Linked DNA regions of Oryctolagus cuniculus. The protein of the gene in region 2 purifies or fractionates together with the protein of the main gene of each other region. This does not show direct contact. Links are inferred from orthologs where the notes say so. Each region holds a gene or a part of one and is shown on either strand. Other genes may lie near its edges.

Evidence for each region.
Region 1: the proteins of IQCB1 (region 2) and EXOC1 purify together in Homo sapiens (affinity purification with mass spectrometry; 3 studies listed by BioGRID and IntAct, counting the BioPlex papers as one, with this or other methods). This does not show direct contact. The link is inferred for Oryctolagus cuniculus from reciprocal best matches to the Homo sapiens genes IQCB1 and EXOC1.

Annotation. Positions count from the first base shown.
Region 1 is NC_091439.1:108,598,792-108,603,202, reverse strand, and holds part of EXOC1 (exocyst complex component 1), read left to right. Parts: intron 1-1,579; coding exon 1,580-1,624; intron 1,625-2,826; coding exon 2,827-2,990; intron 2,991-3,523; coding exon 3,524-3,631; intron 3,632-4,411.
Region 2 is NC_091435.1:78,062,104-78,066,514, reverse strand, and holds part of IQCB1 (IQ calmodulin-binding motif-containing protein 1), read left to right. Parts: coding exon 1-148; intron 149-3,415; coding exon 3,416-3,547; intron 3,548-4,411. UniProt on the Homo sapiens protein: Involved in ciliogenesis. The function in an early step in cilia formation depends on its association with CEP290/NPHP6.

The DNA of each region.
Region 1 (4,411 bases), on a different chromosome or scaffold from region 2:
TTTCTTCTTTGTACAGTTAAGATAATAAACATGTTAATATGAGATTTTAGCCTCTTGATATATACCTTTACATAATTGCTGCTTTCCCTCCTGTTTGTCTAAGATTTCAGAAATCTTTAAAATGGTGGGCCAAAATCATGTTATCATCATTTCTCCACTAAACTAAGAAATCTGGCTGATTCCAAAGGGAGTCTTGAATGCAAGGTAGAATTCAGGGCTGGCTGGACGATTGCCTCCGTCAATGTTTGCCGGTCATCTACTAGTTATCTGTCACGTGATAGGCACTGTTGTAGTACGGGGAATGCAGCAGTGAGCACAGCCCTTGCCCTCTATGAAGCTGATGCTCAGATAGGGGTACATAAAGACATTTGACATCTTTCCTGTGTATTTTCACTTGCTGCTGATAAAAGACATAAGCTTTTCATGAGCCCCAAATCATAGTTAACTGGCATTATGACTAGCTCTGTGTTCTTGTTTGGCCACTGAAGAAATGAGGCTTGTATGAAAGAATGTGTCAGGCTGTGCAGTGAAACTGATCAACATAAATCCGTGACACCACAAGCCACCAGAAAGTGTTCTGCTGTGCTCCCTCCAGAATGATCGTGTTTGCCATGTTGGCCCCTTTAATGTCCAGCCTCTCATGTGCCCCTCAGGCAGCCAAGGCCAGGAAGATACGCTCATCACTGCTTTGTCAAGGGCCCGACGTGTCGTCCGGCTTTTGCCTTGAAGTTTGGCAAGGATAGTGTCAGTTGACACATCACCCTGGTTTTAAGATGTCTTTAGATTATAGTTACATGCTTCAATTTTGTTTCATTCTATGATTTCTTTCTTCGCTTTTCACATTAACTTCTAATTTGAGTTTAGAATGTGTCTTAAGGTGAATTCTAAAATTGATCTAATAAATATTGTATATATAGAAGTCTTAAGATAAAAGAAATGCTAAATGACCCTAAGAGAGTTGAAATTCCTGTATTAAATCTGTTCCATTAGCTTTACTCTTCTATCCATCCATCCTCTGGTTGTTAACATGATAGTTTTAATTTTAAAATGGTCTTAAAGCCCCAGTTGTGTCATTTTTAATCGGATGTTATATAAAATCATTTAGTGTAATAGAACTTCCTTGCAGGGGCTTTCAGGGAATACCAGTTTGTTAATGTCTAAATCTATAATAACTTCATTCCAATAAGTTTCCTTTGAATTAAATTATTTAACCGATGTTTTCTCAGAAAACCCAAACTTTCAAATTCATTCTTTTAAATGTAAGTGAAACAGCTTCACATACTTTTAAAAAAAAAAAGTCATCTAAAAATATGGGAGAGAGGGCAACAAATATATTTTCCCTGAATATTTGAGTAAAAGCAGTACATTAAAAGACCAATGAAGCGTTTTCTCTCATACAGTTTCTCAAACAGTAGTGACCAACTCAGCGTGTGTTTGTACCTCTCCTTACCTGATGCTCATGGTTCTTTGCATGTGTCTTTTAAACTAGAGCTTTAACTTCCTCTTGTGCATGGTTTGTGCGAATTGCAGTTTATTAACTTGTCTTTGTCTTTGATGCTTGCAACCTAATCCATCACAGCTACACTGCCTCGAAAAGAAAGTGCTGGCAAACAGGAAACAGAGAGTGAGTATGCTTAGTGTATTAGTAGGTGTTCTCCATGCATGTCTGTTTACTGTCTAGAAATTAGTTACTTGTCTTGAAAGAAGTTAACCCCAGAAACATCAGTTGCTCTGAATTGCCAGGTATTGGTGAAAAGTCAACAACAATGTGATGGTAGTGATACGGCTACATCCGAGAAATGTGCAGTATTGGTACAAGTATACGACCAGTAGAACTGTGTGTCAGAAGCTCACGAAAAGGCTTAATCATTATACTTCTGTTTTCAGGCTGTGTCTAGAAATTATAAAATGTCTTATATATATGGTCAGATCTTGCATAATAAAGCCAAAATTTGTCTCAAGTCCTTATTAGTCTTCATTTGAACCTTCTGACCACTAGTAAATGGTATGTTAACTGACAAATATTCAAGAAAAATGTTTTAAAACTATTTCATGTATTGTTGTTACTTCATTTTGAATAAAGCAATCACATTTTCTTCTAAAAATTTAATCCTTTAATTCCTTGGTGTACATGGGGTATTGTCCAGCTCTGTGTTCTCATTTTTCCTGCTTAAACACCAGTGCCCGGGCTGATGGGTAGTGACGTGTACATGGCATTTCCACTGTATTTGAAGTATAGCAGGTTTTCAGGCTGCCCTTTTCTCTTCATGTTATTTAGTTTTAAAAGAGCTATGGTTAATTCACTTACTGGAAATGCAGAGGTTCTGGGTTTAGGAACATATTAAATCAAATCATATATAATTGACTTTTTTGTATAGAGCAAAATGATCAAGTATTGATAGACTTGTTGTTTTGACACAGAGGCAAGTAACACTGGGATATGGGATTTTTAGTGGCAGGTAGAGCAGTCATGTTAGTAGGTTTCCATGGTGCTCCGTGCCCATCAGCTGTATTTCTGTCTTCTGACTGGGAAGGAAACCCTCCCGCCTTCAGTCTAGAGATACCACCACGCACCTTTACGGTGGGGCAGAGATACATGGTCTGTAGAGGCCCTTTCAGTGCCATTCTGTGGATCTGTGTAGTTTTGTCCTTTACAGAATGCTCAGCAGTAGGACACAGAGTTAATGAAAGGTAAGTACACAGTACAGCCTGTCCCATATGGTGGCCTTGTGCACTGGAACACCAAAACAGTGGAAGATAGCACTGAATTTTACTCTGGATCGTTTATTCCTGGAGATTACGACTTTCAGTCTTATTATCTCTTAGGTCTTCATGGAAGTTCCGGGAAGTTAACTGGATCTACTTCTAGTCTAAATAAACTCAGCGTTCAGAGTTCAGGGAATCGCAGATCTCAGTCATCATCTCTGTTGGATATGGGGAACATGTCTGCCTCTGACCTCGATGTTGCTGACAGAACCAAGTTTGATAAGGTAAAGTAGAGCAACAAGTGGTTTTTAAACATTAGCGTCAGTTTTCTTATAACTGCATTTTGTGATTGCTTCAGTATTTGAAAATTTTGGTGCTTTTGGCTGCCTTTAATAATCATGTCTTACTTGCAAATTCTGAAGCAAATCTTTAAAAAAAAGTACTAGTCACATGGCAGCTAAAATGTGAAGTATCAATTCAGTAACAAAAGCCTTATTAACCTGTATTTGTGGTAAATCATAAAGTGCTTATATCTCATCTAAATTCTTTGAGCAACTATGAATCAAGAGGATATAATAGCTTTTCTGTTCTCTGTGTTATAAATAAGTTTTAAAAGTATATCTGCATATCCTTCTTTCCAGATCTGAAGTGAATGTAACTGTTTTACTTTAGGTATGTCCTGTAATCTTGTTATTTTGTCAATTTTGGAAGTTTGTCTTTGGAGTTCTATTAAGTTTATAGATCCATGGATAGAGGTTACTGATATTAAGCATTTGCTACAGTTCTTTCATTACAGGATCATTTTGGTTTTCTTCAGATCTTTGAACAGGTACTCAGTGAACTGGAGCCCCTGTGTTTGGCCGAACAGGATTTCATAAGTAAATTTTTCAAACTGCAGCAACATCAGAGTATACCTGGAGCTATGGTATGACTCCCATTTATTTCAGCTAATATTTATGATCTTCAGCATAATTAGTCTGATTAATATGTACTCACAAGTTCGACGTTAATAGAAAAGGAAAGGAAAGGATTTACAATGTAAGCGTCATTAAAACAATTCTTGTCATATCACAAAATAATAAAAACAGTGATAGTTGGAGTTGGGGCATACTTTAATATTCCGGAATATCTTAAGTCTAATCATTTGCTCAACTATGGGGTGGGAGGAGTGTCTCATTTTGCTTTGTGAAAAGGTTGGTTACAAGCTATTTTAGGGGGACATTCACCTAGCGGTTAAGTCGCTGCTTAGAACACCTGCATCCCATATCAGAGCACCTGATTTGAGTCCCAAGTACTTGGTTTCCAATCCAGTTCCTGCTGATGTGCACCCTGGGAAGCAGCAGGTGATGGTTCAAGAATTGGGGCCCCTACCACCCACATGGGAGACCCACCCAAATGGCGTTCAAAGCTCCTGGCTGTGACTTAGCGGTTGTGGGCACTTGGGAGTAAATCAGCAGATGGAAGACCTCTGTCTGCTTCTCTGTGTCTCTGCCTTTAGTTTTTAAAGATTTATTTTATTTATTTGAAAGACAGAGGTAGAAACAGAGAGAGGTCTTCTATCCGTTGGTTCACTCCCCGAATGACCATGATGGCCAGAGCTGAGCCCATCTGAAGCCAGGAGCCAGGAACTTCTTCCGGGTCTTCCAGGTGGGTGCAGGGGCCCAAGGACTTGGGCTATCCTTCATTGCTTTCCCAGGCACATTAT
Region 2 (4,411 bases):
TGAGGTGGAGAAATACAATCGGGAAATGGAAGAGAAAGCAGCATTGATTATCCAGAAACACTGGAGAGGGTACAGGGAAAGGAAAAATTTTCGCCAACAGAGGCCATTTCTCACAGAGTATAAAGCAGCCATCACACTTCAAAGAGCAGTGAGTCTGATGTAGTAAAAACAGCTCTGGATTAGGAGGCAAAAGCATGGGTTCAAACCTGACTTTGGAATTTACTGCCTTGCTCAAGTGACTTAGCTTTCTAGAGCCTTAGATTTTTCCTTTATAGAGTAAGAAGCTCCTTACCTCTGGCCAAGCTGATTTAGACATGTGGTCTTTAGTACTGGGTAGAACCTTGTACATCATTTACCATGCTGCAGTGCTGTTGTTTTTCTTTCCTGGGCTACAAGTTCCTCAAGGATGAGAAACTAAGTCTTATTTATTGTTATCAGCTCTCAGCATGTGCTTGGTATATGAATTAATAGGTGTTTACCCTACCTTTTTCACTTAGATGTTATGTGGACCAGGTGACCTAATATATGGGAATATATTTTGTAAATTGCAAAGTCCTGTGCTAGTATAGCGTATCATATTTAATTTTTTTAAATATATAGGTTAAGTATTAGTATACTTAGATCAGTGTAACTATTGAATTGAGGAATATTGTTGTTAAGTGATAATTTTCCTGGGAATTACCCACAGCAGAGTAACATGGAGAAGCACAGCACAAGACTGGTTTTTTGTTTTTGTTTTTTTCATTTAATTACCTATTTCATTTAATTACCTATTTCTATTTAATTACCAATTCTCCTAATATCCATTTATTCTGTTATACATGGTTAAGCTTCATATTAAGATCTCAGGTCTTGAAGCAGTAAGTTTAATATTCCCTTATTGTTGAACAAAAGGTCAATTTCAGTTTTTCACAAAGATAGATTTTGAACATTCTCTGTAATTAACTTTTTATAAAGATATTTTAAAGTCATCCAAAATGCAGTAGAATAAACACTAGGGAGATAAAAATATCTTCCACCTTCTCCTCCTTTATGCCTCTTTGGATACCTGAGGTTGTATCTGCAACAAATAGCCCTGCACTGACTTACATGTAATCCCCTTTGCTAAACAAGGCCATCTAAGAATTAACCCAATGATGTCAAGAGGGACCCTTGGCTCCCTTCTAATTCTTTTACTTCATGGCTACCTCCTTTTGAGTCTCCCATCCCGAAGAATTAGCTTGACCCTTATTAAGTTGATGTACTAGCTTGCCTAATACTTTGTAAAGGGCCATTTAGTATATGGTGAGATCCCAGGTTTTCTCCCAGTCCTTAGAGAAGCAGTGGTTATCAGAGGAAAATAAATGAGGCCTATGAAGGCAGTGTTGTTCAGGCTTTCATACTTCTCAGTGGCACAAGAGGAAAGAGATGAGTTAAGTTTGCTTCATATTTTCCCAACCCCCATAAAGGAATATAAGTCTTTGTTGAAGTAAGAACAAAACGGGATGAGTCAAGGTCATGTTTATAGTCTTTGCATCTCACTACTTAAAATGACAGTGAAGCCAAAGCAAAGCTAGCCAAAATGGAAAAGGGAATGAGCATCACTTTCAAAAAGAGAAAGAAAAATGGAAAAGTGTAGAGGGAAAAAAAAGAAAAGTAGTAGGGAAATTAGAGCAGAGAAATATCAGTAAAGGGCACATTATGCAATATTTTGAAAACATTCTTCTTTAAGATGCACTGTAGATGTACAAAGGCCCTTAAGCACATGTGGCTATGGAGTACTTGATATATAGTTATATATGTAACTTTATAGGTGCTATAATTGTTAAATACCCACCAGATTTTAAAAATTGGTATAAAAAAGGAAAAACTATCTTAACACTTTTACATGTTAACTATCTTAACTTTTTTACATGTTGAAATTCTAGCAACTTATGTATATTGTTATGATATTTTACATAATTCACTATATACAAAAATTAGTTCGCTCATTTTTTTACTTTTTTATATAGCTACTAGAAAATTTTAAATTATATTTGTAACTTTCATTATATTTCCATTTGCACTGAAATTGAACTGGGTAAGAAAGAAAAGGAAATACTTCATCAACTTCATTGAAAATTACAGAAGAGGGATATCCTTTTCATGAACTTGTCCATCAGGAGGAACCGGTTGTTAGTGTCTTTGACAGAGCAAGAAATAAAAGCCAGACTTTACCTACCTTTTGCCCTACTCTTACTTTGTGTGAAAGCAGCAGCATTGTTTCTCCAGTAACTAAAATTTGGGAAATTGAGAAAATGTTATTATATAACATTACTTGCCTTTTCTAAATTATCTATCCTTTCAGTGTTGAAATTAAATTTAAAGAATGGCTGCATTTCCCTTTTTAATGTTCTACTATTTGCTTATCTTACTGTCTCATCTCTTAAAATCAAAGGAAGAAGCCAGAATGATGGCTAATTCTTCATACTAGATTATAGCATAAAAGTACCATAACACTATTATTTGTGTCCATCCATGACTAACCACAAGAAAACTTACTGGAACAAACCATTGGCAGTAAGAAAATAAATACAAATCAGGAGATAAATGAAATTTCAGAGTCCTACAATGACAAAGTATGATGAAAAGTGATAAGAGAGAGGGCACAGAGGCTTTTTTGATTTAGGAGCAGAGAGAAGTTCCCAGGAAAGCATCATAATTTTGAGGTGGTACCAAAAAACAGGGGGTATAAGACAGATAAGGAGAAACAGAAAAGAAAAATCAAGGAAAAGGAAGAATAGAAGGAAAGGAGAGGGACAGGTATTTGGCCTAGCAGTTAAGACACTCATATCATATTGGAGACCTAAACATGAGTTTAGGTCTTGACTCTGCTTCAGATTCCAGCTTCCTGCTCATGTGCATTTTGGGAGGCAGTAGTGATGACTCAGGAAGCCACATGGGAAATCTGCAGAGTTCCTGGCTTGGCTTCAGCACCTGGCAGGAGCTGTTACAAGCTTTCAGAGAGTGAGCCAGTACATGGGAGCTTGTTTGCATGCTCTTCCTCCCAGTCCATCTCCCCATCTCTCTCAAATGAATAAAAATTTAAAAACAAAATACTACTCTATACAAATGGTCCCTGACTTAAAATTTATGTGAAAGCAATATCCATTCAGTAAAAACTATATCATGTTATTAGGTAAGTTAGGTGTATTAAAAGCATTTTTGACTTAGAATATTTTCAACAATGTATTTATTGGGATGTAACCCTATGGTAAGTTGAGGAACAGCTGTATATTTAAAAACATCACTATCTTCCCTCCTCTATCACATTCCCATCTTCCTCCTCATACACTCAGAGATAAGAACTCTTGCAATGGTGTCACTATCATGTTTTAGGAAGAAAAAATGTTTTATTAGTGGAGAAAAACCACAAATATTCTTTTTTGCCTCCCAGGCTCTTAAATTCCTCGCAAAGTGCCGTAAGAAAAAGAAGTTAGTTTCTCCTTGGCAAGGACTCCAAGAACTCACCGATGCACGCAGAGTTGAGCTGAAGCAACGAGTGGATGACTATGTCAGAAGACATCCAGTATGTAGGCGTCTGTATCATAGTATCCATATTTTACCCTATTCCATTGCACAGTGTTTGCTGACAGTATGCTTATGGTTAGTATAAGATAAGTTAAGATAGACTTATGGATCTAGAGTCATTTTATGGATACATGGCCTTATGGTACAGTGTAAAGGGGGCTTTGCTTCAAATAATTATTTCCCATACTAAATCACCACTTCTTTTGTAATAGTACAGCAAAATTTTAGCTAGTTTGAGCCGTCCAGAAAAAAAGTATATGTGGCTGTAGGTCAAAGATATTCATTCTTACATATGTACACTTAAACATCCATATTCACACATGTGAAAAGATTTAAAACAAACACTTCACTCAAAGGAGATAAACAGGTGATAAATAAACACAAGAAAAGGTACATCTTAGTCATTAGAGAAAGTGCAAATTAAAACCACAATAGGCAGTCAGTCTGTTTCTCTGTTTCTCTGTCTCTGCATTTTAAATGAATAAAAATAATTTTTAAAAAAATCGAGATAGACATTTGATAGAATAGTTAAGGTGCCACTTGAGATGCCTGTATCCCATATTGGAGTGCCTGGATTCTAGTCCTAGCTTTGCTTCCCATTCTAACTTCCTGCTAATGTGAGCCCTGAGAAGAGGTAGCAGGTGATGGCTTAAGTGTTTGGGTACCTACTACTCCTGGATGGAGTTGTGGATTCCTGACTTCAGCCTTGTACAAGAGAGCAAACCAGCAGATAGAATCAATGTCTTTCTATCTCTGTCTCCCTGCCTATCCATCTGTCTATCATCTATTTTTCTATCTCTTTGTCTTACTGTCTTTCAAATAATAAAATTTAAAAAACAAAACAGGGGCCGGTGCTATGGCA